7 linked regions of the Oryzias latipes genome follow. The main gene of each other region encodes a partner of the protein of the gene in region 4 in a complex. Links are inferred from orthologs where the notes say so. Each region holds a gene or a part of one and is shown on either strand. Other genes may lie near its edges.

The links.
Region 1: taf3 (region 4) and taf6 share a complex: the UniProt entries of both Homo sapiens proteins name them as parts of the TFIID basal transcription factor complex. The link is inferred for Oryzias latipes from reciprocal best matches to the Homo sapiens genes TAF3 and TAF6.
Region 2: taf3 (region 4) and tbp share a complex: the UniProt entries of both Homo sapiens proteins name them as parts of the TFIID basal transcription factor complex. The link is inferred for Oryzias latipes from reciprocal best matches to the Homo sapiens genes TAF3 and TBP.
Region 3: taf3 (region 4) and taf10 share a complex: the UniProt entries of both Homo sapiens proteins name them as parts of the TFIID basal transcription factor complex. The link is inferred for Oryzias latipes from reciprocal best matches to the Homo sapiens genes TAF3 and TAF10.
Region 5: taf3 (region 4) and taf11 share a complex: the UniProt entries of both Homo sapiens proteins name them as parts of the TFIID basal transcription factor complex. The link is inferred for Oryzias latipes from reciprocal best matches to the Homo sapiens genes TAF3 and TAF11.
Region 6: taf3 (region 4) and taf5 share a complex: the UniProt entries of both Homo sapiens proteins name them as parts of the TFIID basal transcription factor complex. The link is inferred for Oryzias latipes from reciprocal best matches to the Homo sapiens genes TAF3 and TAF5.
Region 7: taf3 (region 4) and taf8 share a complex: the UniProt entries of both Homo sapiens proteins name them as parts of the TFIID basal transcription factor complex. The link is inferred for Oryzias latipes from reciprocal best matches to the Homo sapiens genes TAF3 and TAF8.

What each region holds. Positions count from the first base shown.
Region 1 is NC_019872.2:15,547,666-15,552,321, forward strand, and holds the start of taf6 (transcription initiation factor TFIID subunit 6), read left to right. Parts: upstream 1-1,744; 5' UTR 1,745-1,947; intron 1,948-3,471; 5' UTR 3,472-3,473; coding exon 3,474-3,629; intron 3,630-3,700; coding exon 3,701-3,787; intron 3,788-3,885; coding exon 3,886-4,039; intron 4,040-4,136; coding exon 4,137-4,193; intron 4,194-4,283; coding exon 4,284-4,403; intron 4,404-4,509; coding exon 4,510-4,631; intron 4,632-4,656. Other genes in the region: mrps31 (28S ribosomal protein S31, mitochondrial), read right to left, coding at 1-22, 200-616, 1,351-1,448. UniProt on the Homo sapiens protein: The TFIID basal transcription factor complex plays a major role in the initiation of RNA polymerase II (Pol II)-dependent transcription.
Region 2 is NC_019861.2:24,478,561-24,481,722, forward strand, and holds the end of tbp (TATA-box-binding protein), read right to left. Parts: intron 3,156-3,162; coding exon 2,988-3,155; intron 2,511-2,987; coding exon 2,416-2,510; intron 2,185-2,415; coding exon 2,105-2,184; 3' UTR 861-2,104; downstream 1-860. UniProt on the Homo sapiens protein: The TFIID basal transcription factor complex plays a major role in the initiation of RNA polymerase II (Pol II)-dependent transcription.
Region 3 is NC_019865.2:7,762,252-7,766,667, forward strand, and holds the start of taf10 (transcription initiation factor TFIID subunit 10), read left to right. Parts: upstream 1-1,507; 5' UTR 1,508-1,757; coding exon 1,758-1,890; intron 1,891-2,207; coding exon 2,208-2,365; intron 2,366-2,525; coding exon 2,526-2,590; intron 2,591-4,416. Other genes in the region: uncharacterized protein LOC101174996, read right to left, coding at 551-643. UniProt on the Homo sapiens protein: The TFIID basal transcription factor complex plays a major role in the initiation of RNA polymerase II (Pol II)-dependent transcription.
Region 4 is NC_019864.2:13,576,178-13,580,760, forward strand, and holds the start of taf3 (transcription initiation factor TFIID subunit 3), read left to right. Parts: upstream 1-1,662; 5' UTR 1,663-1,870; coding exon 1,871-2,036; intron 2,037-2,372; coding exon 2,373-2,615; intron 2,616-3,853; coding exon 3,854-4,583. UniProt on the Homo sapiens protein: The TFIID basal transcription factor complex plays a major role in the initiation of RNA polymerase II (Pol II)-dependent transcription.
Region 5 is NC_019865.2:19,681,361-19,685,736, reverse strand, and holds taf11 (transcription initiation factor TFIID subunit 11), read right to left. Parts: upstream 2,896-4,376; 5' UTR 2,508-2,895; coding exon 2,334-2,507; intron 1,455-2,333; coding exon 1,324-1,454; intron 1,228-1,323; coding exon 1,140-1,227; intron 1,057-1,139; coding exon 960-1,056; intron 860-959; coding exon 729-859; 3' UTR 581-728; downstream 1-580. Other genes in the region: anks1a (ankyrin repeat and SAM domain-containing protein 1A), read left to right, coding at 4,150-4,319. UniProt on the Homo sapiens protein: The TFIID basal transcription factor complex plays a major role in the initiation of RNA polymerase II (Pol II)-dependent transcription.
Region 6 is NC_019859.2:29,661,547-29,665,918, reverse strand, and holds the start of taf5 (transcription initiation factor TFIID subunit 5), read right to left. Parts: upstream 3,156-4,372; 5' UTR 3,012-3,155; coding exon 2,600-3,011; intron 1,687-2,599; coding exon 1,455-1,686; intron 1,380-1,454; coding exon 1,064-1,379; intron 988-1,063; coding exon 824-987; intron 317-823; coding exon 181-316; intron 105-180; coding exon 1-104. UniProt on the Homo sapiens protein: The TFIID basal transcription factor complex plays a major role in the initiation of RNA polymerase II (Pol II)-dependent transcription.
Region 7 is NC_019865.2:25,322,237-25,326,753, reverse strand, and holds the start of taf8 (transcription initiation factor TFIID subunit 8), read right to left. Parts: upstream 2,872-4,517; 5' UTR 2,732-2,871; coding exon 2,684-2,731; intron 74-2,683; coding exon 1-73. UniProt on the Homo sapiens protein: The TFIID basal transcription factor complex plays a major role in the initiation of RNA polymerase II (Pol II)-dependent transcription.

The sequences.
Region 1 (4,656 bases), on a different chromosome or scaffold from region 4:
CAAGTCAGGGCTCAGAGTTTCACTAAAACAAATATATATAAACATTAACAAGTTCAGAAATCTTTTACATCACATGATCTTAATTTGGAATATTGACCAACAGAGTCTTTTGTAAGCAGGGACAAAAGTAAAATAAGTATCAGGTAAAAAGTAATAAGTATAAGTAACCAATGGAAATGGCTTTTGACTCTTCTCGTACCTCTGTGATGACGCCTCCTCTGTAGCCTTTTGAAACATACTGATGGTGCTTTCCATATCTGCTGGCTTGGACTTATACTGTGCAGCTGACTCAATACTTTGCTGTCTCTTCATAGTTTTAAGCTTTCTTTTATTGGTCACTTCTACTTTCATGGCTCCAAGTAGGTCCAGGAGGTTTTCTTTCTCACTCTTTCCTGTATCCACTTTAGGCTGTTGTGATTTTGCCAGAAGCTGTTTAGAGTTATCATCTGCCTGACGGTCTGCGGTCCCTCTGTCTTCAGTCTTTAACACGCGTTGCTCCTCCTTCTGTTCCGGCAGTTTCGTTTGGCTATCTATAGATGTGCCAGCATTGTCTTTTTTTTCACACAATCTGACTGAATTTGTGCAGAAAGTCTTCAATCCAACTTTGTTTAAGGTTCTGTAGAAATATAAATACCAAAGTGCAGTTAATGCATCTTAAAATAGGAATGACAGGAATGCATAAAAAATCAAATATGATGGAATGTTAGCATACTTTTCTACTTTACATTAGAAATATTTGTTATGGTGAATCACTTCACACGTACAATCATAGCTATAAAGAACTCTTCTCCAACTTAAGGATGGGAAAAGGATTTGAGCTTATTGTGAAGCCACTTGTATCTCAGAAACATTGATATAATTTTGTCACCAGAAACAAAATTTTTCAAAAGTCAAATATGAGTTCAATGGTCTTTTGAAAATTGGTCTTTTGAAAATTGACAACAATTTGGGTTAGATCTAGGACTTGATACGGGGAGATTTGAAAAGCTGCAAGCTAAAAATAAGTCATTTTTGGACACTTATGACATGTGGGCTTTCGTTTGAAAAGATAATGTTTGGTTACAGTTCTAATTCAATTTTGGTTATTATAAATACAAAAAAGCACAGCATGTCGTTTAGCATTTAAATAAAGTAGTGGTTTTGAATTCAAACAAATTTAAGTCTAGAATTTCACACAGTCCGGCAAGTTAAAACACAAATGTCCTTCCGGGGATCGAAAAAGCCAAGAAATAAGAAGCAACATAATCAGTTTTTTAAGGGTCAAGATTTTCTTTTAACACAAGTATTACCACATTTGTTGTGGCTCAACGATATCATGCTATTATTATCGGGAGTACTCCTATTCCTCACCTGAAAACATTATCACAGTTACTTGATAAAAAGGACTCGTGAACGTACAGTACACGATTTCGTGCCACAATCGTTGTCCGGGATATAAATTGGTTCATATTTGTTTCTTGAAATGTCCTTTCACGTTTGGAGCTTTCATCCGTGGTAACGAGAAAAAGTCACCCGGAAAACATTACTCCAAACACTAGTTCCGTATGAACGTTAATTCGAGCAAAAGCTATCTTGCTAGAAAATTTGATTTTCATAATTTTGCCATTTTAAGCTATGAGCGTCACATTAATTAAAATGTACAAATGTAAAACGTGTTTCAATAATAAGATACCTATTTTAAAATAACAAGTCTCCTGATTGTTGTGTCCACAACTCTCGCGATATTTCGTCCGCAACGTGACTCAAAATGGCGATGGAACATTAGCGCTAATTTACAGACGGATGGCTCTGCTTCAGCCAGGAAATAAGTTTTGTTATTTACATTGAGAAATGGGGATTTGCAAGGAAAAAACGGGGTTACGCTATTGTCAGTGTTGTAAATACTGATAGTGTTCATTTGTGGAAATCCTGGCCATAACTCAGAAGAGGAAGGACAACTTCTTACAGGTATAAACGTCAAAAAGAAGCTAAGTTGTTAGCATATAAGCTAACTTGCATTAAATTTAGCGCTCGTTTGTAAATGCACATCTTAAACAATGTGCAGCTGACAGTGATCCTAAAATTGGAAGAACTTTTATTTACTTTTAACTGCAATTGCGTTTAGGAAATCCCCCGTTTTAGTTCCGTCGGGGGGTTAACCCGCTCTCTGTGGAGGAGCGGTCTGTTTGTGTTTGTAATGTATGAAATCATTTTTATGAACCGATTATCATTTTAGCCGATTGGCCTTTTTCTTGTTGCTTTTTAGGTGAGAGATAACTCTTAACACGAATGAACCTTGTGAGACGGTACATAAGAATCGGGACATCTGTTTTATCCAAATAGTGAAGACCGCCTTTAGCTTACTCATTTGAACATCGAGTTCTTAGCAGCATTGATTGTTCAACGTCTGACACAAAAAAGTAACCGGACCTTCAAAACTACGTCTAAACGCATAGCTATTTGAGTATTTTTTACTTTTTCGTAGCCCGATTATATTTTTGGCTTTTGGCGCTAATGTCTGTGTTCTACTAGGGGATCATTGAGATCTTTGACAGCGTTAAAGATACAGTCACGGGAATAATAATAATGTGCTTCAATCATCATTGATTTTCGATGTCATTTCCAAAGAGTGTATTTCAAAGCACTTGAATTGACTATTTTTGAAATATTTCATCAGACAGGTCCCCCAATACATATTTTAGCAGTTTTGTTTACAGTGAGGCGTTTAAATTAAAAAGAAAATAATAGAAAGTAATAAACAACAAAACGTTCAAAAAGCGCAACTCATATTTGGCTAGAAAAAACAAAGATCACACATTTTAAGTGAAACTGCGTTTTAAAGATAATAGATATAGATGCTTATTATTGAAAAGCTTTAAATTAAAGCAATTACAACAAACAAAATAAAGACTTATTGAATTAATTGTAATAATTTCGGCAGATATGTTTATCAAAACGATTGATCCAGTTGTGGGGGGTTTTGGGGATTGAAAAAAAATGTTTTTTGGTCAAATATGTCTTGTTTTCTCTCAAGTGCCATCAAATACCACCGGGGTTCTCATAACCTTGCTAGAAAACTACTTTTCTACATACCATACTTGACACAGATATTCTCACTTCCTGCAGTCTTTCTTTCTTTTTTGGTTTCTTGTTTCACTGTAGGAAACTTTTATTACTGTGGTTTAACTTGCAGTTTATACAGTTCTTTGACTGTTAGCATGCTGGATGCTCACAACACTAGTCTTTCTAGGCTAAAGTAAAGGTGTGATGTTTTCATTAAATGAAGATAAGGTCCACGAACATATTTCCTTCTTTTTTCTTTTTCTTCGAGATATAAAATTTTTTTTTCCTAGTGTCTCATTTATAACAAATAATGCCGTAACAATAAGATGGAGAATGAAAAATATAATTTTAGACTTCTATAAGCTCCAGTTTGTGTCTGGTTTCAGTTTACAATGAAACTTTTTGTATGGCCCTGCTTTGTGTTGACAGCCATGGCGGAGGAGCGTCGGCAGAAGCAGTGCTCGGTCACCCTTCCCACCGAGTCCATGAAGGCCATGGCAGAGTCTGTTGGGGTGGGGCAGTTACAAGAGGAAAGCTGCGTCGCCCTGAGTGAGGAGGTCAGCTACAGAATCAAAGAAATCGCGCAGGTAAGAGCTCTGATGGTTTATGGAATATGTGAAGCCGCATACAATCCCTTATTCTGTCTCTTTTTGCACAGGATGCTTTGAAATTCATGCATCATGGGAAAAGACGTAAATTAACTACCAGTGATATAGATAATGCCCTCAAGCTGAAAAATGTGGAGGTAAGGTTTAAATATTTTGGAACACATCCATATTTATCAAGTTTTGGGAAACCCTGTTTGTTTTATATTCTGTGCTCTAATTAAAGTCTCTTTTATAGCCTCTGTATGGATTCCAGTCTCAGGAGTTCATTCCTTTTCGCTTTGCAAGTGGTGGAGGGAGAGAGCTTCACTTTTATGAAGAAAAGGAGGTCGACCTCAGTGACATTATTAACACACCCCTCCCCAGAGTTCCACTAGATGTCTCTCTCAAAGGTAGAGCGACCGTTACAACCTTTTAAAATCACAGTTTTTAATCTTTTAAACGATTTATCTGAAAGTTCATGGTTTGTTCTCTTTTGGAAACTCACAGCCCACTGGTTAAGTATTGAAGGAGTTCAACCCTCAATTCCAGAAAATCCCCCTCCAGGTTCGTCCTGTTCTAACCGTCTCCCCCAAAGGAAATTGAATGCTTTAAGGACAAAAATGACAACCTTTTATGTTGTTTACACTTTTTTAGCAACAAAAGAACAACAAAAGACAGAGTCCACGGAACCCCTTAAAGTGGTCAAACCAGGTCAGGAGGAGGAAGGGGCGATTCAAGGCAAAGGTCAGGGTGCAACAGCTCCTGACGGCAAAGGTCGGTATCAATTATTTCATTTTGTTCCAATTTTTCTTTTTGCTTCTCTTCACCAATAAGAAAGGGTTAATAATTTGGGTTATTCCTGTTTTAACGTGTGTTTCAGGAAAAGAGAAAGGTTCGATCAGGTTGAAACCACGCAGCACTCATGAGCTGTCTGTAGAACAGCAGCTGTACTACAAGGAGATCACAGAAGCCTGTGTTGGCTCCTGTGAGGCAAAGCGAGCAGTAAGTCCTGCAGATGTTGGTATAG
Region 2 (3,162 bases), on a different chromosome or scaffold from region 4:
AGGTTTTTTTAGCTGCTCTTCAACACACATGTGCATGCCATGAGAGCCAAACCTTAAACTTCACTCATTTCTGGTGCCTGACTTAAAGATACCATACCACCTACAGTCCTACGATGGCCTACTTATCTTGTTTTGTAGTTCTTTTTCTTTTTTAACTAAGCTGAACCGTAAAGCAATTAGTGTGTGAAAAATGCTTTTACAAGTTTATTTTTACTACAGAGAAACTAAATGTAAAAAAAAATTTTTTTTACAACATAAACCTTTTTGGAAAAGCAGTCTTTATCTGAAAGATGGAAAACCTAGATGTTTGAGGAGAAAATTTGTCACAAATCCAAAAACCACAAATACAACAAACACCAAAACGGAAAAGTTTGGAAACATCTTCAAATTCACGAAATGACAACTTCAACCGAGTAAACTTTAAACGTGACCTTATTAGCCAATACAAGTCATGTGCCACTACAGACCAGTTTGGGCCGTTCATTCAGATGCATCTCCAATAACAGCAGCTGTTTTACTGCTTATAAATAGAACTAAGAGAAAACCATTGGTTCTTTTACCTTACATATTGTGCTGTTGAACCACCATGTTACTCAAATTTCAAAGTGTTCAATTTAACAATACTTACAGAAAACTGTATAAAAACTACTGAATGTCATGGATCTGATGACCTATGAACTCTATAGGTTTCCACCCAATGTGACCGATTCAAGTTTCTTTTCTAGACTTGAAGAAATTGAAGGGGTTTTTTTTACTTCAAAAAATTTCCTCCAGATAGTTTCAGATAAATAAATGAGTCTGTGGCAAACACACTGCTTAAAGTAAAAAAAACCTCAGATGTTACAAAGACAAAACTCTGCTTTATGAACAGGATGTATGAACACGTTTATTAACGCACAGTACAGCTCTAACAGTTGTGGAGGAACAGGTATCCAAATGGAAAATGGATTTCTGGTGACAACATCCATAATAAGTGGAACAGACGTTAAGTTGAAACTTATTTTAAAAGTTTGGCTTCTGAAAGGTAATCCTTAGGTTGGTTAACGAGAAAATGAAATCAACAAGTGCCAGAAACTCAAATCAAAAAGTGATAAGTACTTTTCTAAACAAAGTTTTGCAAAAAGAAAGAAAGAAAAAAAACCAGGACAAGCAGGAGCATTTACACTGTTAACTCACTCTCTGCAGAGATTTATAGAAAAAAACAAACTCCTTTGTCTTGGTGCATTTAAATTGAAGACAGACTAATGAACATTATTGTTTTGAATGCCTGTTAACATCATTTTTCCAAGTTTCCTGTTTGCTTTAAGCTTTTTGGAACATCCTATCAACTTTGAATGACTAATAATTGAAAATAAGTTATATACATTTGTACAAGTTTTACAATAAAGCACATCTGATATCACAATTATGCTCAGTTTCTTCATAAAAAATAAAAAGCTTCAAGCAATGATGGAAACATGGGGTGACTTTGACTGGTAAAGGCAAATTATTGCAGAACAAACTACAGTCTGGATCGGATAACTCAATTATTGAAATGGTTTCTATTCGTTATAAAATGAGGGCTTTCACTGTAACCTGGGGACAAGTATGGCTTCAGTTTAATTTGAAATTTGAAAAGTTAATCGATTTTGTGGCAAGATTGTTTACAAGGGGTTGACCCAAAAAATAAGGAGAAATCATTCATAAATCGAGTAAAGATAGAAAAAAATCAGTTTGCAATATATACAAAACCTGAAACACTGAAATAAAACCAGGAAAAGTCCCGGTCTACCTGCCTTTTTCTTCAATACTTTTTACATTTTCGTACAATTCGATGTAAGAAAACTTGCCAGCGAGGAAGAGAAGAAAATGTAAAAGCTAAAAGCAGGTAAAGTTCCGGGTGAAGATCAATTGTGATGAGGAAACGAGCAGAGGACCTTTAAAATGTCTTTTTGGTTAAAAAAAAAATTAAGGGAAAGACAAATAGTCTTTCACATTCAAGTCTTTACTGTCAACTTGAAGAGGTCAATATTAAAATGTTAACATCTCAGTGAATATTAAAGAAAAAATAGACAGAAATGTAAAAAGTTATAGCGTTTGGATAGAAAACAGGGAATTATAAGTTCTACGTAGTCTTGCGGAATCCTTTCAGGATGGGATAAATGTTTTCAAAAGCTTCATAGATTTCTGCTCTCACCTTGGCACCTAAAAATAGAAATAAATACAATAAGTTAAAAAACAGAAGGTAAAGCTCATCAAAAAGAATTTAAAAATCTGTTTTGGAACTTCAATTTTACATCAACAAAATTCTAAATACTTCACGGAGAACAAAGAAAAAATAGAAAAATGCTAAATAAAAGTGTAAACAATAAGTACATACAGTTAACATCCTGTTTTACTCACAATAGGAAACAAAAAAGTCTAGTGAAAACTTACCTGTGAGTACCACCTTCCCAGAAACAAAGATAAGCAGCACAATTCTAGGTTTGATCATTCTGTAAATCAGGCCTGGAAAAAGCTCCGGCTCATAGCTGCAATACAAATATTACCTCATTTTAGAAAAGCAAAATAAAACCAGGAGAATAAAAAAAAAATATATAGTTTGCCATCTGAGTGTCAAACTTCTGTCTGTGAGTCAGATTGTGGTTTAGGATTTTGTTCAATTCTGACCTGCTTATCAGATTTACAGACACTGCAGGAAACCAGTTTAAAAAATGGATGGTTTTGGAGCATTAATAAAATCTGATGCATACATATCATTGTGGTGCTTGTTCAGTACATTTATATCATTTGTCATCCATTCAGATTTATTTTTTTACTTAATATTTTCTTTTATGTTAAACATATATGTTTAATACCTAAGTTGGCATGTGTGTCAGCACAGCTGTCCCAACATATTTTCTTATCAATAACTGTCAATAGTCGATTAAACTGTCACATTTTTGAAAAGCCTTTCAGGGATTTTTATACGGATTCTTTAAATCTGCAGTAAAACAAGGAGAAATTACCTGCTGAACTGCTGATGTGTGAGGACCAGTCCTTCCAGACGAATGGGAAACTTGACATCACAACTGCCCACCATGTTTTGAATCTTGAAGTCCAAAAACTTTGCAGGAAAACCGAGCTTTTGCACCACACGGGCATATTTTCTAGCTGCTAACCTGGACTGTTCCTCACTACAAA
Region 3 (4,416 bases), on a different chromosome or scaffold from region 4:
CCCATGTATCGAAGTGCCTTGGGCAGGACACTAAATCCTGCACAATACCCCTAGTGGTTATAGTTTGGTGCCAGTGTCTGGCACACATTTAGTGTGTGAATGTGTGTATGCATGGGTGAATTGGACTGTGACTGCATAGTGCTTTGGGCTTTTTAGGAAGGTAGTAAAACTGTATATAAATATACATCATTTGGCAAAAATTAGGACTTTAATAACAATTTGTGCACACAAATGAACATTTTTGTCATCAATTCCCTCTACTAAAATAGAAAATTTGTGGGCAATTTGTCCCTACAAAATGCTAATTAAAATTATGTATATATATATATATATATATATATATATATATATATATATATATATATATATATATATAGTTTTTGCACACAAAATACTAAGTCATACCCTTTAATTTTTCTAATGCCAGGGATCCGAAAAAGTTCAATTAAAATTGTGTTTACAAAAAATGTATTTGGTTATGATGCTTTTATTTGTCATATGTGTCAAATGAGGCTCTAAAAACAGGGGAAGGAGGAGAAAGAGAGGATACCTTCATGCGTTCAGGATGGATTAATGCAAACTCGGAGTAACCCGCTCCCCGACAACCAGCTCCAATCACGATTGCTCGGACCGTGGCAGTCATTCTTTAAAACTCAGCTGAAGATCAAACATGGTAAACATTTGACTAGGAAGATCCACCGGTTACGAACAGCACAGTGTTTTCTATAGTAAAAGAAACGTATTAAAGATCAAACCATTATTAATCACTATCCTATTTTACAGACACAACAACACATAGGAGAAGGCGTATTTCCACATCATAATTTCCGGTAAGACCACATGATTCGCCACTTCACGAAAGGATGTTATGTCTACCTAATTTTTCCAGCACGACTATCAAAACCTGCTGGATCTTTTTTGTTTGCCTCCGCGCTTTGTCTAGACGAAACTGCAAAGTCATCGGAGGTCAATGAGTAAACATGTTCTTCACAAAGACGATAAAAGTCACACAACGCCTACTTCTTTGTAAATAGTTGCAGCCTCCACGCGCCAGTCAGGTCGCTGTCCATCTGCTGCGTTCAATGTCCCTCGTAAACAGCTACAATTTTCCTGTCATAAACGCGTTATGTTGTGAAAAAAAAAAAGAAAAAGATAAACGTTAGCAATGGTAAGGTCCTTAATATTCAAATCATCCTGCGTAAAAAGTACAGGTGCTTTGTTCATAACACATTGCCAGTTAAATCAGTTTAATATGTTACCTAAAATGTATCTTAACATGTATCTCACTATTTTTAAGGCTGCACTTTTTTTGTCACCGGTCGTGGTTATTAAATCTGACTTAATCTTCTAACTGTCGTTCAACTGTAAATATTTCTCAATCGTAAAACAGCTAAACTATGAACGTTTACAAACGCTGTTGAGGTTGCTGTTGTTGCATTATCAAATAATCTCAAACGCAACCCCAGCCGTTGGTTCATACGGCTTACGTCATCAAATCCTACGTATTGTCGCGGTCACATGACGTCAGCGGCTGTAGCACAGGCTAAGCTTTCACAGCAACGATAAAAAAACAACAACTGATAGTTTTCTGTAGTGTTTAGTGTTCTCGTAGTCAAAAAAAGTTTCTTAAATCAACAAAAGTACCTCTTTAAACGCCTGGCCGTGTTGCTATATAGCACCATATAGAAATTTTGATACAAATTTCCATACATCTGTCTGAGTTAGCTTTTTGAGGTTAGCGCTTAGCTAATATAAACATGAATGTAGACAACGTAAATCCGTCTGTTACAACAGGAGTTGTGTCTACGACGTCTTCAGCTTCAAGTAATTGCATTGCCAATGACAATGCAACAACCAACGTCAGCAGCATTCCTTCGGTCACAAACAATGGTAACGAAACATAATTTTGGTCAACAAGATCTGTGCTAACAATGTTGTGCTACGACGATGCCCCATCTGATGATCTGACATTTGTGGTTTTGCTAGTTAAGTCAATTTGATTCACATACTGATGCATTCCTGAGTCTTTTATGCATATTTGGAGGATTGTCCGACAAACGTTTTTCTTTATCTGTTAAGCATTTCTTACATTTCGTTCTGCTAAAAAAATAAAACTAAATTTTTTAGTTAAGCTCCGCCCCAAAAAGTGTTGTGTGTGTATATAAATATAAGTACATTTGATTTAAGTGATAATTACAACTTTGCAGCTGCAGCTTCAGCAGCCCCGGCAACTCCATCAGCAGACTCATCAGTCTCCAATGGAGTCTACGTTCCCGCTGGCATAACCAATGGGGATGTGAAACCTGCTGTCTCCACCACACCTCTGGCTGATTTCCTCATGCAGCTGGAGGATTACACTCCTACGGTAAATTTATCACCCTTACCTTTGAGTTAGTGATGGGGATGCCTTGGCTCAAACGAGATAACTGCTGTATTTTTGTTTACGTCGTACTGGCAGGGTAACTACATGTAAAAATATTTAGATTATTTAGTCTCTCTCGTGTATTTTTCCATTTCTTTTGCAGATTCCTGATGCAGTTACGGGATATTATCTGAACCGAGCTGGATTTGAGGCTTCTGACCCAAGAATGTAAGTGATTGAAACTAGAAATATGTCCATATTTTGTGTGATATCAATGCTTAAGTAGTGATCTGCTAAGTTGTAGCATGATTAATTCTAAAGATAATCAGATTTTTAATTTTGTGCAAAGCTAAAAAGAAATTACATACTAGCTGATCTGTGTTCAATAACAGTCATGTTTTCATGCCTGTATTAGTTATGCTTGGGGTTTAATGTGTTTGTCAACAGAGGAAGCAAAGGGATTTGGTTGGGTTTATTTGAATTGGAATTAATTGTAAAGTGCTTTGAGCTGCTCGAAGAACGATAAATACTTTTTAAAAATAAAGATTGAGTTGATTTGTTTATGAATTTATCTGGAATTCTGAGAGAAACAAATATACATCCTAAATATGCAGCTAAAAAACTAGATTTAAATGCATAGAGAGCTTGTGTAATGCTTAACTGTGTATGTGTTGCTTAAACATGCAGGTTCAATTATAGTATTACAATTACCCATAATTTCCGGATTATAAACCGCTACTTTTGTCACACGCTTTCAACCCTGATTCTTATTCAATGATGCTTCTAATTTATGCATTTTTTTCTTATTATTTTATTTTCATGCGTTTTTTTTTAACGGCCACTCGAGCAAAACGGGTGGAGGAGCGAGTCAGGGGGAATGTGGTATATGTTTTGAGGAAAGACGCAAGTTTTATGTAAATTCCTGCTTTGTGAATGAATAGCACGAACAGACCCTCATCATGGAAAATGCAAGACGAAATGCATATGACGCAGCTTTCAAGTTAAAAGCAATCGTTAAAAGCAGTGTGAAAAATACCATCACCAACGGGTTTGGAGAAGCCGGTCTGCTGCGTGACGGAGAGGACAGCGCAAACACAGGAGAGAATTTGCCTCAGGATGAGAGGGACAAACTGACAATGAAGGAGACACAGAGAGAGTGTGTAGCGAAGTCTATCTGATGCTATTCCAATCCGACACTGAGGAGGAAGACCTCAATGGTTTCAGAGCACAGGAGGCGTGTGCCTATAAGTTACTGCTGCTCTCAGTGACTTTCACCGGTAGTTTTTTTTTAACCAGCTCTGTTAGTGCTGTTACAACCATATTGCTGCCGTGTTCCTGCCGCGTCACAGGCACTGTTTGGAAAACAGCTGTGACGGTGTGGGATTTTTGATCACCGCAGTGATGAAGCAGCAGGAGTTGCTGTGTCGCGGTTTACCCCCCCCCCCCCCCCCCCAAAAAAAAAAAACAACAACAACAAAACAAACAAACAAACACAAAATCTCCCTGGCGGCCACGTCGCTAATGAATACCTACTACAACGCAGTATTCTTAATTAAAAAATAACACTAACTACTAACTATCTAACTAATAAACTCACTACATAGGTGTTGTAGAATGAGTATGTGTGTCAGCGCACTGTGTGTGTAAGAGGAAGGAGCCCGAACAGAGCAGGAGTGAGAGCCTCCCTCTTGCGCTGCACTAGCTCTCCCCTTCCTCCGCTGTACGCGCTCCTTCCTCTTTCTTACACACGCCGCTCGTGGTTTCAGCACATACACATCCTCATTCTACGACGCATGTTTCAATGTGGGCACATGCGGCTTATAGACTGGTGCGGCTTATGTATGTACGAAATGGTTTATCCTTTAAAAATGTAATGGGTGCCGCTTATAATCAGGTGCGCTCTATAGTCCGGAAATTACGGTACATATCCTTCACAGGTTGTTTTATTTCTTGTTGCTTAATTTTTTTTGTACAGTTTAATGTGAGGTTTAGTCATGCTCCACTCTATGGGTTCACAAATATTTCAACCCTATGTGAAGACTCACTTATAACTC
Region 4 (4,583 bases):
CCGCCTGAAGTTTGCCAATGAACACATTCATGATTTAGAAAGTGATTGGGAAAAGGTGCTGTGGTCAGATCAAAACAAGATTGAGGCCTTTGACATCAACTCAACCCTTGGTGTTTGGAGGAAGAGAAATGCAGCCTGTGACCACAGGAACACAAACCACACTGTCAAGCATGGAGGTGGGAACATCATGCTTTGGGGGTGTTAATCAGGACAGGGCACAGGGCTACTTCACAGTGTGGATGGGAGGATGAACAGAGCCACGTTCCTTCAAATCCTGAGTGAGAAACTCCTTCTCTCCTTAAGCCAGGAGGCTTAAAATGGGTCGTGCATGGGTCTTCCAACAGGATCATGACCCAAAACAAACAGCCAAGACAACCAAGGAATGGCTAAAGAGGCATATCAAGGTCATGGCGTGGCCCAGCCAGTCTCTGGACCTCAATCCAAAAGAAACCATATGGAGAGAGATGAGTCAGGGTTGCCAAGCTACAGCCACCAAAGATGTAATTTACAAAGAAGAGTGGACCAAAATTTCTCCTGATATGTGCAGAAACCTGATCAACTGAAAGAACTGCCAGACTTCTGTGATTTTTATTAGGGATTTTGCCACAAAAGCACTAAGTCTGTCTGGAAAAAGGGTTCTAATTTCCCTCAATGAAATGCAAATAAATTAATATAAATTCTTTACATCTCAATTTCTTGATTTTCTTTGTGATTTTTATCCCACGGTTCAAATTAACTTTCCATTTGGACTGTCAGTTTTTTAAGTGGGCAACCTACAAAATCAGCAAGAGATCAAATTTCTGCCACTACTTGAAAACCCCAAAATGTAGCTGTAAATATTTGACTGTAATTTTCCAAACAATTGTGACAATTGTAATATTTCTGATGCTTTTTCAAGCCTCAATTCTAGTAGAATTTTACCACAAGGAAAGGGAGTTATTTATACTTGTGAAAAATTGTGTAGTTATTAGTTGGTTATTTAAAAAAATTAAAGAGATTTCATCACCAAAGAAATTCTAATTTTGAGATTTGAAACAAGTTGGGGCCATTCGTTTTTCTGGAAAATATTTGTGGCCTGTTTTTAGATGACATCTTTTTTAGTTTGTATATATTTCACAACTTTTCGAGATTTATAAAACGGTCGAATTGAGAACTCTACATAAACTACAGTTATGTGTTTACGTTCTACACCAAAAATTGGGATTTTTACAAAACTATGCAGCGCCACCGTGTGTCGACACCTAAAAGCTGCATGTACTTACTTTGTGATCGCGCCTTATAAAATGTACGCTTTGAGTTTCTACGAGGTGCTAGTCTACAACATTTTTAAAAGATAACTTTTTAAAATGTGAAACAATAACGTACTGGTCAGTATGATAAATGTGTATTTGCTGAAGAAGGGTTATCATCAGCGAAAGGGCATGCGTGACTCAGCAGTGGGAAGCGAAACTAACCGTTAAAGCTCTGTCAGTTCCAAACATCTAATTAAAGTTATGTTAATCGATAACCGATACATTTAATTACATTTCTGAACACATAAATATAGCCGTTTATGACTTAAAGACGGTAGAAGCCTTTATTGAAACAAGGTCTTCCGCGCATGCTCAAAGCGGTCTTTCAAACACCAAGGAAGCGAAGACAAGCGCTCACTTGTGCGCATGTGCAGATTAGATTTCGGGGATGGGTCTATCGATGGAATCAAGATGGCGGCCCTGGCAAAAGCGCCAATGTATTTACTGAAGTAGATGTAAGATATTAGCGAAGTTCGTGGGTTTTCTCAACCCTCCGTGGGATTCGTTGAAGCATGACGACGGGAGGGATGTCCCTGTTGAGAAATTGACCGGGAATATACCGCAACAAAGTCAGCGAGATGTGCGAGAGCTATGCCCGCTCGCTGCTGCGTGTTTCGGTGGCGCAGATCTGCCAAGCTCTGGGCTGGGATGCAGTCCAGCTCACTGCGTGCGATCTGCTGTCTGATGTGCTGCAGAGGTACATCCAGCAGCTGGCGAGGGTCTGCCACCGATACTCCGAACTGTGTAAGTTCTGTGTTTTGTGTTCGGATTACTTTTAAACCAATAGTAGTAGATCACGTTGTTGTTGACTTGTCCTGTGGCGGGCGCCCCCTAGGAAGAAGTGATGTGTCAAAAAGTACAGTAGCCCCAAACTGTCAGTCATAGCGTCATTCTCACAGCATAACTTTTCACAATGGAGGAGTAGGTTTTACATGACGTCACTGTATTGTCTGATCAACGTTTATATTAGAATTATTTGCAGTATTTCTTGCTGCATGCAGAGTAAGTGTCCTTTTCTACAGTTCGGCAGAATGGGGGTCTCTTTGGTTTGTGACTGTACCCTGTGATCGTGTCTTTCAGATGGAAGAACAGATCCGATGCTGGATGATCTCAGCCAGGCCTTCCGACTCATGGGGGTAAACCTGAGCGAGCTGGAGGACTATGTCCACAATCTGGAGCCCGTGGCGTTTGCCCATCAGACGCCGCTCTTCCCCGTATGCAAAAACAACATGTTGCAGTTTCCTCAGTCTGCAGCCAGAGACGCAGACGAAAGGAAGGATTACATCCCCGATTACATGCCGCCCCTGGTTTCCCTGCAGGAAGGTGAGGTCACCTGTTGGTTTGGATGGCACCGACACGTTTATCAGTGCCTGTAGCGAAAGACATATTGACGTGCAAGTGTGTTACACTGAATCTACTGGAAAGCTGTATAAATGCAGGTCATTAGAATATCAGCCAACATCATATTTTCACAGTCTTTGCAAAATGATGTTTAAAAGTATTCTCCATTTGGTTTGGTTTGTAATTTACTGAGAAACAAAAAGGAAAATGAATGGATTGTGTGTGTGACTGTAAAGCGCTTTGGGCCTTGCAGGTAGAAAAGCGCTATATACGTATACGCCATTTACCAATAACTCAGAAGTGAAAGAGAAGCTAATTTAAATGATCCACTTCCTTTGACCTCATATTTGAACATCATTAAAAAATGCATATAAAACTTTGAAAAACATGAAAAGGTACTTGTATGATCAAAAATATGTCTATTTTCCATAATTCATGTGATGCTCACCATACAAAAAAATCCAAACAGTGCAGTTTCTGTATTTAGATAAGCATTAGTGTTTTATTGATCAGTTATTAATCCGATTTGCTTTTCCTTTATTAAAATGCTAGAAAATTATTTTCCATTTTTTCTTCTATATTTATTTTTTTAATTTTCAAATTGTTCCAGAAAAGTGTGCAGTCAGCCGGAAAAGGGACTTTTCATTTCATCGTGTCTTCCCTGTTTTTGTGGGTGGGACTTAGGCTAATGTCACACTCCTAACAGCAGTTGTGTATAGAAGTTTTCCACAGTTAATGTCAGATGTATTCACCTCATATAAATGGGTATGAAGATGGTGCTAATGGTCAAAAATATATTTTTTTAACATGTATATTCCTTTTCTCATAGTATCTGGTTTCAGAGGGTCAAGCTCTTGTCTCTATGGTTTAGGGTTTTATAGAATCCTCTTCTTTTAAAGGTTTTATTACTGCTATTTGCAACCAGTTTTCTACACTTTAGCATATTTAAAGGATGAACAGCGGGGGAAAAATACACAGGAATACAAAACAGGAAACAGTATGTCAGTGTCATGCTTGATCTCTATCCCAGTCCTTCAGTTTATTCCAGTGTGTTGTTTTTTTCTTCCTTATTAACTATGTAGGATTGTTTTTCAATGAAACGCATCGTTTAAAACATCTAAACATCAGTTTTTTGCCAATAATTTTGGTGTAAATGTTTGCTTTGTTGTAGAAGTTGATGTTGAAGTGTTTGGGCTCATTCTTGCCTCTTTGTTCCCCAGAAGAGGAGGAGGAGGAGGTCCCTCCAGACATGGGCACCTCAGCCGAAGCCATGCAGGTGCCGCTGGAGGAGGATGATGAGGAAATAGATGAAGAAGAGACTGTCAATGATGAAAATTATCCTCTGAAGAGGCATTTGGACAGTCCCGATGCAGCTTTGGGAATCATGCCCACCTCCAAGAAACCGCGCTTGTACCCTGGTCTCAGCCCGGAATGGGGGGCCGAGCCACGGGAGCCTCTCACATCGCTCAACCCGCAACGCGTCCCGCCAGGCGTTCTGCCTTCGCACGACAGCCTCGACCCCCTGTCGCCTGAAATGCCATCTGGTGCCCTGCAGCCCTTCAGACCTCAGCCGATCATACCAAAACAATTTGATCAAAAGAGCCTCGGCACGCCCGGGAAGAAGCCCAAGGTTTCGTCCCCTGGCAGGCAACGGACTAAGTCCCCCAAAGGTCTCCTCCCCGTTCCATTAATTGGTAGTCCCATCCACTCTCCAAAACCGTCAAAGGAAAAGAAGAAGTCTCCTGCTAAGACAAAAAGCCCTAAAAGTCCTAAAAGCCCAAAGATGAGTTCCATCAAAGTGTCTCAGCTTCAGAGCAAAGCAGAGATCCTGCTGAAGCCCCCGCTTCCCGCACTGAACGAGAAGATAGGCAAAGAAAACATTCAAATGCGTCACATTGTAGAGGACAGAGAGCCACCAGAGGGGCTTTTTAAGAACCTCGAGCCCGATAA
Region 5 (4,376 bases), on a different chromosome or scaffold from region 4:
GTATTTTTGTCAGCTGGTTTAAAAAAGAAAAAGAAAATAATCACATTGACTTTTCTATGGGTAGAATCACTTCCATTGAGACTAAACTTTAACTGGTTCTGTGAACCAAAATCAGTGTGCTGTAAAGATTTTAAGTGTAAAAAAATAAACTGTTGAACACAGTTTGATGTTGCTGTGTTTTTTTCTTTCCAGTAGAAAAGATTTGCTGTTCACCGAGTGAGTTTATACCAAAGAGGTAGTCAATGTTTCTGTGAGCACTTAAGTAATATCACATTGAAGACGTTTTATGTTCCAAAATAACAAAGCCAAACGTTTGATTTTCTCAAAATTGGGAAAGAGTTGATGAGCAAGGAAGAAACTTCCTTTTCAGACGGGGACTGAACCCAGATTTGACCGTAAACACAAGACCTAAAAAATATGACCAATTCAACAACAAAGTAAATGCTATAAGATCCTTTCATAATATCAAACCTTTTATAAACATGAACCTCTAATACACTAAGAAAACGTCTGAAATATCAATTTTGCTTATGTCCACATAGGATTTTTTTTTAAAATTAAAACCCAAATCGTACCAAAAAAAATTTGAGAGTAAAATCTTTATTTACACAAAAAAACTAGTCCTTGGAAAAAGAATGTCCGCCTGCCTCTGTGGCTGGAGTTTGACAAGAGGCTCTTGAGGCTGTTTTAATCACCTGCATCCTCATTTAACCCACAGGTCAACGGTCTCAGTGAAACAGAATGTGCTTATACTTTGTGTTGGGAATCTGATCTCTGCTCTTCAGCCTTCGGACGGCCTCCCTCATGTGCTTGGGCTGAAGCGGAGGCGTGTCCCCCCACTTCTCACAAACATCAAGCGCTGTGAATCGAAAAACAAAAGACGCAAAAATGTTAAGCTTCCAGGAAAATGGATAGAAGCTGCATAATACTAGAAACTATTTGTTGCCTTAAACACTCACCTTCCTCGACAATTTCTCCAGCAAAAACCTTGGCAATACCAGACATTGCTATGACCACATTCTGGGAAACTGACGATCCTGTGATTGACTGGATCAGCTGGAGGTCGACCAAAAAAGCCACAAGAATGACAGAAGAACGTTTTTGGGAGGAAAAAGAATTAGTTTTTGTAGACAGCTCACCCTCTTGATGGCCGCCTTGGGGAAGGCAGAGCGTCTGTACATTTCATAGCGATTTAGTTGCTCTTCAGAAAAAGAAGACACCAAAACTCTAAAAGAATCCAGGAAGAACAAGAAACGGGGTGAAATTAATAAAGATGACAGCACCATGGAATATTTCAGGAAAAAATAAAAACGGCAGTCTTACTGCATCTTTTGTATTTCATCTTCGTCAACTTTCTGCCTTTTCTCCTTTTTCTTATCCGGCTCCACCTTTAGCCTTTTTGCAGGAGGCTGACCGGAGGTTCCCTCTTCTTCATCATCTCCAGGTGCAGCTTCCTTTTCAGAAAAAAAACCCATCATGATTAAAGTCTTCTTACACTTTAATGGATTTCCCTTCCTAAATTTTTAGTACTTCTTCCCATTTTTAATGTTGTGTTTGTTCAATGCACAATTATTTAGAATACAATGTGAGGATGTAAGTGAAGCTCGTTACATGTAAGTTTGCTACACTCTAACATACCCAACAAAAGAAGACTTGGATTTAAAAAAAGCAATGGTAGACCAATGTGATCAAGTATGAAGGGTTTATTTTTCAACCAAATTTAGTCAATCAAAAGTTATTTTATAATTAAAAAATGAACTGCATGTCAAAGCTAAGAAAGAGTCAGTTTTATTTTGTATATACAATAAAAATAATACATAAGTTAAATACTTCCTCAATGAAAATATTTTGCTTGAACATTGTTAATAAATACTCAGGATTTTGTACATTTTTCTTCAGGCTTATCTAGTTATTTACCTTGGGTCCCAATTTAATTGTCTTGGAAATCAATGTTCAACCCCTTGAAGCCCATTAATTCAAATATGCATCAAACATATTTGACTCCAAAATTACTATAATGTTCTAAATGAAAATAAAGACATATTGTACCAAGTTCTTTTTCTCTGCACAAAACCAAAACACGAGTATCATATTTAAACAACCATTAATATTGTGGATTGTTTATTACATCAGTTTCCCCCCAATTTTTGATAACAGATTTGGTCCAGAATTGGTTGTATGTCTATGTCAAACTTCCATAGATCTATGCATTAGACTGTAACTTTCTCCTCAATTGTACTGCTAACAACCTAAATAATTCTCCACTCATCTAGATTTTGCTTAGATTTTTTTTCTTCCACAAAGGATTTTTGAACACAGTCATTTCTACTCACATGTTTCACCTCCCTTGTGGATGGATCTTGTGCGGACAACTCTTTCTTTTCGTCTGCAGATTCTTTTGCGATGGCTTCATTTTTTATGTTCGTCTCTTTACACGGCTCCCCTTTGGATGCTGCTGCCTTCTCAGACTTGTCTTCTGCCGGCTTTATCCGTGCAGGGTCTGCCATAACCTAAGTTTCTAAACAGCAGTCTGCAAACACCAACGAAGAAGCTATTACGAGACTTTAGTTTCAGCTGTGTAGCCGGCGTATTTGAATAAATTCTGGATGAAAACTGCGTATCTCATGCACGTTCCTCTACAGCTAGCTAGAGACGTCAACAACAAAGCCCTTTGCCGCAACACTAGCAGCTAATAGTTAGCTGTTATAGTGCACTAATGTAGTCTACGGTCCTTAAACGACACACACCGGTAATTATGTCAAAAAGAAAAAAGGTCTACATAAACAATGGATAAATAACTATAAGTACTACATAGAAAGGCAAAAAACTAAAGAAGATAAGCTAGCTTTCCTGGTAAACATCTACCATCGAATAATAGCCTAAAAAAACCCAAGTGCTTCCGTTTCCGTTTTGAATAAACTTTATTAACAAGGCGTTAAATGTTTCTTTTTTTATGTCAAAATGTGTTGAAGTTAGTACTGTCCATGAAAAATGTGTCAAATTGCTCTCTCTCTCTCTCTCTCTCTCTCTCTCTCTCTCTCTCTCTCTCTCTCTCTCTCTCTCTCTATATATATATATATGTATAAACTCAACACAAAATAGAAGAAAATTGCAAAAACGAAACCAAACTAGAATATTTTAAGACCAATAGAACATACAAAACATTGTTTTTTTACGCCACCTTGTCACGGTTAAAAAAAAACAAACTCTGTGCTAAAGTTACGCAGGAAATACAACAACAAATATTGTCAAGAAAATAATACTTACAATTATTACATTTTACATAATTGTAGCTGTTCATTTATCATTTACAATGCAACCTCTAACATAGTTTATCTTACTCGTGTGTCCCTGTAATTTTTTTTAACTCCACAAAATATTGCAATACATTAAAATAACAATGTGACAGGAAACATGATGTTTTTGATTTTGTATGGTCAGCTGAAAAAATAGTGAAGTGTTAAAAAAATTTTCTTTTTTAATAAATAGACATTTTCCAAAAATGTAAAGTAGTGAAAAGGTCGTATTTTCATTTGAACAAAAAATATTAGGTTACATATTTGTCTATTTCATTTAAATGTATTCATATATACACATTGCTATTTCTTTTCATTGAAAAGTAAGCGATTTGCACACTATCCGGTTAGAAAATTAGCTCTCGATTTTCAAACCAACTGGGGTAACGGAACAATAAAACAATCTCCAATGTCCTCATAGAATCCTGCCAAGCGCCATGTTGCTTTTCCCCGTCCATATGTTTTATTAATCTGCGAAGGGCGGCGGTGGTAGGGAATCTGAGTGTGTCTGACTGAAGAGCTTTGGATTGGAGATGCAGAAAGAAAGGGCAGTTTCAAGGAAGTGACGGACGACGCTTGGAGGACTGGTCAGAGGAAGTTTGCTCGGTGGTTGGTGCCGTGCTGCTGACTGAAACTTTTGCCCGTTGAGCGCCAGCAGCACCGGGGAGAGGGACAGAAGGAGCCGCTGGTTGGAGGGAGCTTTTGTTCCCTGCCGCATAGTAGCTCTCAGGAATAACTTGAGGTTGGGAGAAGAAGAAGAGGGTCACAGAGGAATTTTACTACAAGCAACCCCCCTCCTTCTCCTCCCCGCACCTCCTGTTTTTTTTTTTTCTCCCCCCGTCTGGTAGCAGCAATGGGGAAAGAGCAGGAGCTTCTGGATGCGGCGCGTACGGGAAACCTGGCGGCGGTGGAGAAGCTTTTGTCCGGGAAGCGACAAACCGCTGGCGGATTGTCCGGGACCGGTGGAAGCGCCAACAGCGGCGGCCACGGTGCCTCCTCTCACCCGCTCTCCAGCCTGCTCAGGTACGCAGCGGGGAACCGAGAGACGGCATTGTCTCTTCTTGCCTAGCCAAACATTAA
Region 6 (4,372 bases), on a different chromosome or scaffold from region 4:
TTGCGCAGCTTTTTTGGCGTCACACTCCACACCCGAACCGTGGAGTCGGCAAAGCCTCCTGCTATCAGGCTGGAGTCGTCCGTGAAGTCCACCGCGGTCAGACCCTGAACAAGTCCAACGGAGTCTAAAGCTCAACGAGAACCGGCAGCCGTCAGACAACGGCCGGTGGGCGCCGCTTACCTGGTACGCGTTGAGGAAGGTGTAGAAGCAGATGGAGGGCAGGTTCTCCCGTCCCAGACGGATTCTTTTTGTGGATTCCTTCATGTACATGATTTTGTCCAGCTTGTCAGAGTCCTTCAGTTCTGGCAGAGGTATCCTGACCATGAAAAGTTGATTACTCAAGACTTTCAAAGGAAATGACTGCAAGAAAACTCTGGAAATCTAATAAGCACAAACGGATGTTTCAGAAATGTTTTCGGTTTAGGAGCTGTGACATCGTCCAGCCAGGACACGTGCACATGTGACAGACTGTCTACAGGGGAAACTCTGCAGGTGAACCAAACAAGCCCTCAGAGCTCAAAAGCCCCGCTTTCACTGATGTTTTCAGACTTTCTAAGCTCTGTCCTGTAACACCTGCCATTCAGACGGATTCCCGCCTCAACAGCAGCTTATTTGCCCCACCGTGAGCAGTAAGAGGGGGACGGAGCTGACGGGGCTTTTCTAGAAACTAAAGCCATCCAAACACAAACCAGAATAATCCAGAAGCAGATGAAACGTCCTGGGAAACGTTAAAGCTGCTCTCCCACAGAAAGAGGAAGAGCCTGCCTGTGGCGGAAGCTCCTGAAGATGCAGAAGCTCTGCTCTGCTGACCGCAGAACCTCACCTGTTCTGCAACGGAGCGTTGGGATCTTGCTTCTTGCTCTTGGAACCCATGCTGTCCTTCTTTGGCTTCTTCTTCTTCGGCTTGCCCTCTTCGTTCTCCGCCTCTTCATCTTCATCATCCAGGGGCACTTCAATCTCTGGTTCTTTCAGCAGCCCATAATAAACCTGCAGCCAGAACAGATGGCATTGTTCTCACGGGATTACAGAGGAACGTGCTAAATCTGTCGGGAACTTCCCTCACCTTGGCTTTGTTGGCCTCCCGCTTGGCCTCTCCTGCTAAGCTGCCTGACATGGCGTCTATCTGGCTCTTGCTGCGGGGCATGCCGTCGAAGATGTCGATGTACAGGTGCTCCTGGATGATGTTCCAGATCTGATTGTTCTGGCGCTCCTGCAGGTGCCTCTTCAGCAGCTGGTAGGAGTCACGGGAGATGCGCAGGACGAACTTGCTGGTGCGGAAGTCCAGCAGCGTCTCGTTGCCTCTCATGTGCTCTTTCTTGGTGAGGCTGGATAAAACCCGGAGGTCGTCTTCGTAGTAGCACTCCTGATCCCCGCTGAACCTGCGGACGAGGCCGTGACGAGAAGGCGCGCGGAGCAGGGCGTACTTTTTTAACGTAAACCTTAAAGGGACTTACTTTTCAAAGAAGGCCTTGGCTTCACTCTCATGATTGTTGTACACCAGCTCCAGGTACATGTGGACAAAGAGCGGGTAGAAGACCTGCGACAGCTCTGCCCGGTGGCAGTCCAACACCGACTCGATGAACTTCTTCAGGTCGCTGTAGTAAACTTTGTAGAGAGCCGGGTCTCCCTGCTGGCTGTAGGCTGACAGCACCACACTGACGTCGGGCTGATCGTCTGCGACTGCTGCTGAGAGAATCCAGAGGTGATGAACCCCCACCGCGAAGCAGCCCAGAAAGACTCACAGACCCTTCAACTATGGACCTGTTGCTGGATCTGCAGCTTACCTGGTTTCAACGGTAAAGCCAGGATGAACTCATCTAAACTGGGATTGAAATTGAAGGTGATGTCTAAGAATCAAACCCGTTTACCTGATAGCAACTCTGACATATTTCAGGAAAACGATCACCTGGTTTACAGTCCATTCTCAGGGTTTGTTGACATCATGTGTGCATAAAGACTTCAGGTTTTCTGGAATCTAATGAATCCCATCTATAGTCTCAAAGTTGGAGCTCTTCAATCTGCTAAATCTGCTTTTGCCATCTTCATTTATTTATCATTAAATAACAATGAGGCTTTGTCCTGTCTTCTGAGTAGCCACATCTCTGAATGTAAAAAACAGACAAAATCAAATGTGTGAAAATGCTGGAAGTTGTCAGATGACTGAGAAGTGTGAACCTTGTTAAAGCACTTCATCACAGGATATTCTGCTGTGTGTGTGATCCTGATCACCTCAATTGATCTGATTATTTGTGTGCAACACTAAACTGTATCAGGTCAGCTGTAGACCAAAACGAACAGTGACAGACACAAATATTTGTATAAAGTATTTAGACTTATTTATATTTATTACTTAAAAAGATTCATGGTTTTAGTTTGTGTTCTTGTTAATTTGGATTCTCAGTTTGACCACCTCTCTGCTTCCCCGGGACGTATGTTGCGATCAAGTTTTGTCCACATTTGTTTGTCAGTGTGTGTAATTTACGTTCTTTTTGCAGCTTCTAAACGTGTCTTTTCGATTCTTTTACAACTGTTGCGCGCGCTTTATGAGGAGCGAACAAAGTTCCGGTGGACGGGCTGAGTCCCGCTTGGAGCGTCATACCTTTGGTCGGCGCCGGAGTTCCAGCGGAGGAAGACACGGCCACCCGGCTGAGCAGAGAGCCCGCATCCAGGCCGTCCACGCCGCCAGCGGTGCCGCCCGAGCTGGGCGCACTGCAGTCCGCCCCCTTTGTGTCCAGCGCATCCTCGGGCAGTCCCGCCTCACGCCGCAGAATTTCAACGGACTCCGTCAGCTTGTTCTTTCTCAGGAACTGTAGAACCGCCAGCAGCGTCTGCTGGTCCTCCGGCGCCCCAGCCGCACTTTTGGTGCTCCCAGCCGAGCTGCTGGAGCTCGGGGACGGAGAGAGCTGTCGCCCGTCGGTCGCATTTGTGTTCATGAGCCCGTCGCTCTGCGGTTCGGTTTTTATGTCGACTTCTTCTTTCTCGTCGACCATTCCACCCTGCACGGCCGCCATTTTCAGAATGAAGTGCGCATGTGCGAGGTTGAAAAACGAGAAGAACTGACTGCGCAAGATAAGCAAATCTGATTGGTTCTCAGAGTGACATGTGTGTGAGAAGCCCGGCCCCCTCCTGGACGGCTCGTGCGGTTCCGGGTTTTTTTTTTGTCTTGTTTTTTTTTTTTTAAATAAACCTTTATTGACATTTTATCATTCAAACTGTGTCTATGATTTAGAAAAAAATCAAAACAATTTTTAAGGCCAAAATTGATAGAACTGTATATGATAAAAACTTGAGCAAATTTTTTTCTTCAAGACTACATTTTTTTAAGAAATACACAAAATGATACATCCATACAAGGAAACAAAATAAAATAAAATAGTGGTCTAGTTAGAAGTAATACATTTGAGGTCCTAAACGTTTTAATAATTTCCTACTTTTGTGCTCATGAGATCATCAGATGACACAGCCTTTGTTGAGCTGATATTACAATGTTGTTAATATTTTTTATTAAAATGGGTAAATTCCTCTGATCAAACTAGTTTTTTTTGTCTCTGTGATTGAAATTAACTTTAAATAATTATATAAAAGATTAAAGAATAAACAAACAAAAAAAAACGAATCAAAGCGAAAACATGAAAATCAAAGAAAGAAACAAATGGGGTAAAAAAGCAATCAAAGCAAAACTATTAAGATCCCAGGAAAAGTAAAAAAGAGAAAAAAGCGTTCAGATTAAGAACAAAAAGATCAACTGAAAATTTTAATCTAAGCAAGAATATAAAGATCAAAAGGGAAATTCAATCGGAAAAGATGGATCAAAGCAAAAACATAGAGCTCAAAGAGAGTCAACGGTTAAAAAAGCAATCAAAGCAAAACTAAACTAAACAGCTATCAAAGAAAAAACACAAAGATAAACGAAAAAAATACAAAAGGGATCAAAGTAAAAGCATAAAGATCAACAGAGAAAGATCAACGGATAATTCAAAGGGAAAAAAGCAATCAGAGCACAAACATAAAGAACAGAAAAACCAAAGAGAAGAAAGCAACAAGAGCATAAACAAAATAGTCAAATGAAAAGAGGGATAAAAGTGAAAACATAAAGATCAAATAAAAGTCAGAGGGAAATAAGCGATCAGAGCAAAAACCTTAAAATAAACGAAAAACTCAAAGGAAAAATGGGCATGTCTTCTTATCTGGGGATTTAATGCAAATAGCACTTTATGGGGGGGGAAGGTGACAGATGCTAATGGTGAGGTACTGGAGGACATGATGGATGATTTATACTTGGTCTGTCTCATTGATTGGGGAGGGACAAGGATAGATGAACAAACAGGGAACATGTCAGCACTAGATCTCACTTGTGTTTGGAATGTATTGG
Region 7 (4,517 bases), on a different chromosome or scaffold from region 4:
CCTGCAGGGTGCGGCGCCGGGCCAGGTGGTAGTTCTCTGCAGGGCTTGAAGCTGCTTTGGCTCCAGACCCTCGCTAAAAGAAAAAAAAAAGTATGCAGACTATTTAGATGCAAGACAAAGATATCTATTCGATCATAACACAGACTTATACACCTTTCCTTTCGTTCTTGCTAACAATCTTGTCACACCTGAAACCTTCCTTCACCTGTCTTAACCTCCTTGGAATGGGAGGTTCCAAGGGGAAGAGATGAAGAGGGAGCTCTTCGTTTCCTTCCCACACTCTCTGTTGATCTGGACTGTTTGACCCAAAGAACTTAAAGTCCTCCACCTTTACTCCCTGTTCCACTCGAATTCCGCTCCTTCATTCATCTCATTTCCAGAGGAAACCTCCGCCTGCTACCTCTCACTATAGATCATAATGTCATCTGCAAACATCATGATCCACACAGATTCCTGTCCAACCTCATCCGTCAAGACTGTCCATCACCATGGAAACAAGAGGGTGCTCGAAGATGATCCCTGGTGCAGTCCCACCTCCACCTTGAACTCCTCTGTCGTGCCTACAGAACATTTTTTACCAACGTCTTCCAGCTCTCATCCATATCCTGCATAATTCCAACGTTCTTCTGTTCCTCCAGACTCCTCATCCAGACCGCAGCTCCTTTCTCTGTTTTCTGTCATACATTTTCTCTAGATCTACAAAGACACAATGCAGCTCCTTCTGACCTTCTCTGTTCCTCTCCAGAAGCGTCCTAAAAGCAAATGTTGGATCTGTGGTTCTCAGCCTTTGCATGAAACCATACTGTTGCTCACCAATGTTCCTTTCAGCCTAGCTTTCAGCGCCCTGCACATATCTTCACTGTGTGACGTGTCAGTTTCCTTCCTCTGTAGTGTCTACAAAACAGCAGCTCAAATCTAAAGTAAAACTTGTTCGTTTATCATAAACACAACAATGAAAAAAATCTGCAGCAGCTGCTTGTGTTTACAGTTCCTAAGAAATACTTATGCAGATGTTATCACTGAAACGGTCTCCAGACGTTTTGAATTTCATTTCACAGGAAGAGATTTTAATGTTGATGTAAATGATGCGTCATAACACAGACTGACATGTGGGATGCCACAAGGCTCCGTCCTTGGTTCTACACTTTTTAACCTGTACATGCTTCAACTTGGTGATGTCATCAGGAGACACTTGATGACTTGGGACCCACTGATGACCTTTTAAGTTGTTTTTTAGATGTTGAAACTTGGATTGGAGAGAACTTTCTTAAAGCTCAATACAGACAAAACAGACATTTCTTAAATCTTGGCCCTGAAGCTGAGAAGAGAGGGTCCATTTTTCCTTATAAACCCATTACTTATAAACTCAGAAATCTTGGTGGGATTTTTGATGCAGACTGCATTTTTTCATCTTAGAAATATTGTCTGAGTGAGACCCTTTCTCTCCAAAGCCAGCACTGAAATATGAATCCACACTTTTTTAACATCTAAAATAGATTATCTTTATCTTTATTGGCTGCAGCTTGTTCTAAACTCAACTGTGCACCTCTTAAGCAGAGTCAGAAAGAAGGAGCACATTACTGAAATGTTGAAATCTTGCACTGGCTCCCAGGGAGCATAAAGATCCATTTTAAGGTTCTTTTGTTAGTTTCTACAAGTCTCATGCTAATAAAAAAATGGAACTTCAGTTTTAATCAGAACTGCTTTTAGTTGATGACCCTCTCAGAGACCTTAGGTGCAGGTCTGCTGATGGTCCCAAAGGTCAGAACAGAAAGCGAGGCCACATTTCAGCACTGTGGATGTGAGGGCTTCATCCAATGTAGAGGCTTAAGACAGAACTCAAAACTTATCTGTGTAGCTTTCCAAGGAGTTTGGTACATTTCCTCATATTTTATTTTTTATTTTGGAGACTTGTAGATTGTGTATGTGTTAATCAATATTTATTATGTTAATGCTAATTTCATTTCATCTTCTAAACCCGTTAAGACCCTTTCGGAGTCACGGGGCTACAGAGCCCATCCCGGCCACTCGTTGGCGAAGGTAGGGAACATCCTGCACAGGTCGCCAGGAGGAAGCTGGAGTCCCCGGAGAAAACCCACTCATGGACGGGGAGAACATGCGAACTCCAAGCAGAAAGGTCCCGTTCTGTTTCAGGTTCCCACAGCCGGGACTTGAACCAGGGCGCAAGAGTCCTAACCACTGCGCCACCATGCAATTTATGTTAATGATTACCATTATACATTTTTTTCTTTGTATAAAGCACATCGAGGTGTTCTGTAGCAGGAAAAGCGCTCTATAAATAAGGGTGAATTTATATTTTGAATTGCTGTTAGGGCAGTACTAAAGAGTCCAGGAGGGCTCGGAGGTATTAAAGAGAGTTGCAACCTTCAGGAGGTTCAGAAAACTAAAAACCTCATCATCAAGAATAGTCGGCTTAGTTAGCATAGATATACTCCGTCCGAAACAATAGTCTCAACATGAAGAGAATCATTTACAGAGCATGTTGCACAAAAACACTAAAGCTAGCTCAGCTAGTCGTTCAAAACAAAGTGGAGTATAATCGTACTTGTTGCCATTTAACCCAAAATCAACGATGAAACCTTTCCGCATCCAGATGTGGCTGCTAGCAAGCTTTCCGATGCAAACCTGCAGCATTTACGACAAACACAAACGCTTTTCTTACCCCGCTGGAGTTTAACGCGCCTCCCGGCGTCACGGCGGGATCTGCCATTGGAAATAACTTCAAAAATGTCTCCTTTTTAGGTGTGAATTTTTTAAATTAAACAGATTTATTCGCTTAGACACGATAAGCCACCGCTAGTAAATAAGTTGTCCATGTATGACGACACTTCCGTCATTCAGACGGAAACGATTGTGAATGTCTTGAGTTTAGCCGACACTGCCCCCTAACGTCCGTCTACAGTACTGCGATTGTTTACATTGTCATTTTTATCCACTGGCAGATGGAAGAAAAGAAACGGCTTCATGACAAAAACAACATAAAATGCATTCAAATATCTGACTTTTTTTTTGAAAGTGTTAAGTTATCCTGAATAAATGTTATATTTTTTTCCAAAAAATTGAAAAAATAAAGAGAGAAAATATTGTGATTTTCAATTAAAAAACCCATTTTAATTCAGGCTTGTTGCACAGACATCTATTAAGTACCTCAATCACCAAATACTTGATGCCATCAAAGCAAGACTAAAAGAAAAAAGTTTTGTTCAATTTCTCACGATTTTTCAGTGCAGGAGCAGCAAATGTGCCTCTTTAAGTAGACACTATTTTCCTATAATCTGAGTACCAGTGGTTAGCACAACACCATTTTTATTAAAACACACAATAAATTGAATTGCACAATTCCCCTTTCCTTCCCATGGTATTTGATCCATATTAGAATCTGCTGCCCAGCAGCCTGAGGTCACTGTGTCCTGCAGTTTTTAGTGTATCACCACATCTGACATTCTGTTAAAAAAAGGGGCAGAAAACATTTTTACCAAAACTAAAATAAATTAGAAATTCATAAAAATAAAAAGGTCTGCCATTGTCCATTTCCGTTAAAGTGAGAAAGTCTTTTTAGGAAGCATGCAGGCGAGTGGCCGAGCTTCTCCTTGTGACCATGCCCAGATGTTTGGGCTTGACCTCAGGCACCACCACGCTCAGTATGTCCTCAGCTTCAGTGGGGATCTGGACATGGTGGGATTTCAGCAGCAGCCTCTCCCTTCTCTTCTTGTCCATGAAAAGCTCAGCAGTCTGTTTGCCATCAGCAGGGCTGTCCCCAGAAAAGGGCAGGAGAATCATTTCCACCATTCCGCCGACCATTCCCAGCAGGGTCAGAGCAGAGCCCAGCGCGTAGATCTTCACCATGTTCCTGCTGGGCCCCTCCTTCAGAACCTCCTTCATAAATGGTACAATGTCTCCACTGTTTTCCATGATGGCTCTGCAGAAAGAAAAAGGAACATTTTGGTCAGTTTTTTAACTTCATATGGAATCAAAGTCCTTTTTTTGCCAGGGCTCACCTTAAAGGGGATGCCAAAGAGTTCACTTTTCTCTGTGTATTGAGGACAATCATTGTACACTTGGGCAGACATCTCAATTTAAGGACAGCAGAAAGAAGCCAACCCCCACAGTGGAGGACACTCATGCATATTCATGAGTGTACTGTTCTGTTTTTTATAGATTACCACTTGTTTTGGGTTAAAGTGCAGGAGTTTGTGGGACAAGGAGTGAGACAGTTTTTTTCCTTATAGTGAGTATGTGACATCATTTGTTGCCCAACAGATCCAATAAACATATAACAACGTGCCAGAACCCATGACTCATGCTGGATGTGTTTATGACTTGTAATAATCCACAATGTTCCCAATGCGCCTATGGAATTTTTTTAGAGTGGAAATATAGGGCAATTGAAAATGTTAGAATATCTCAGAAAATGTGCATAATTTTTACATCAGTTTGGTCCAAATATGGCATTAGGACAAACCGTGATTCAGAAATCCAACATGTGTACATCACTT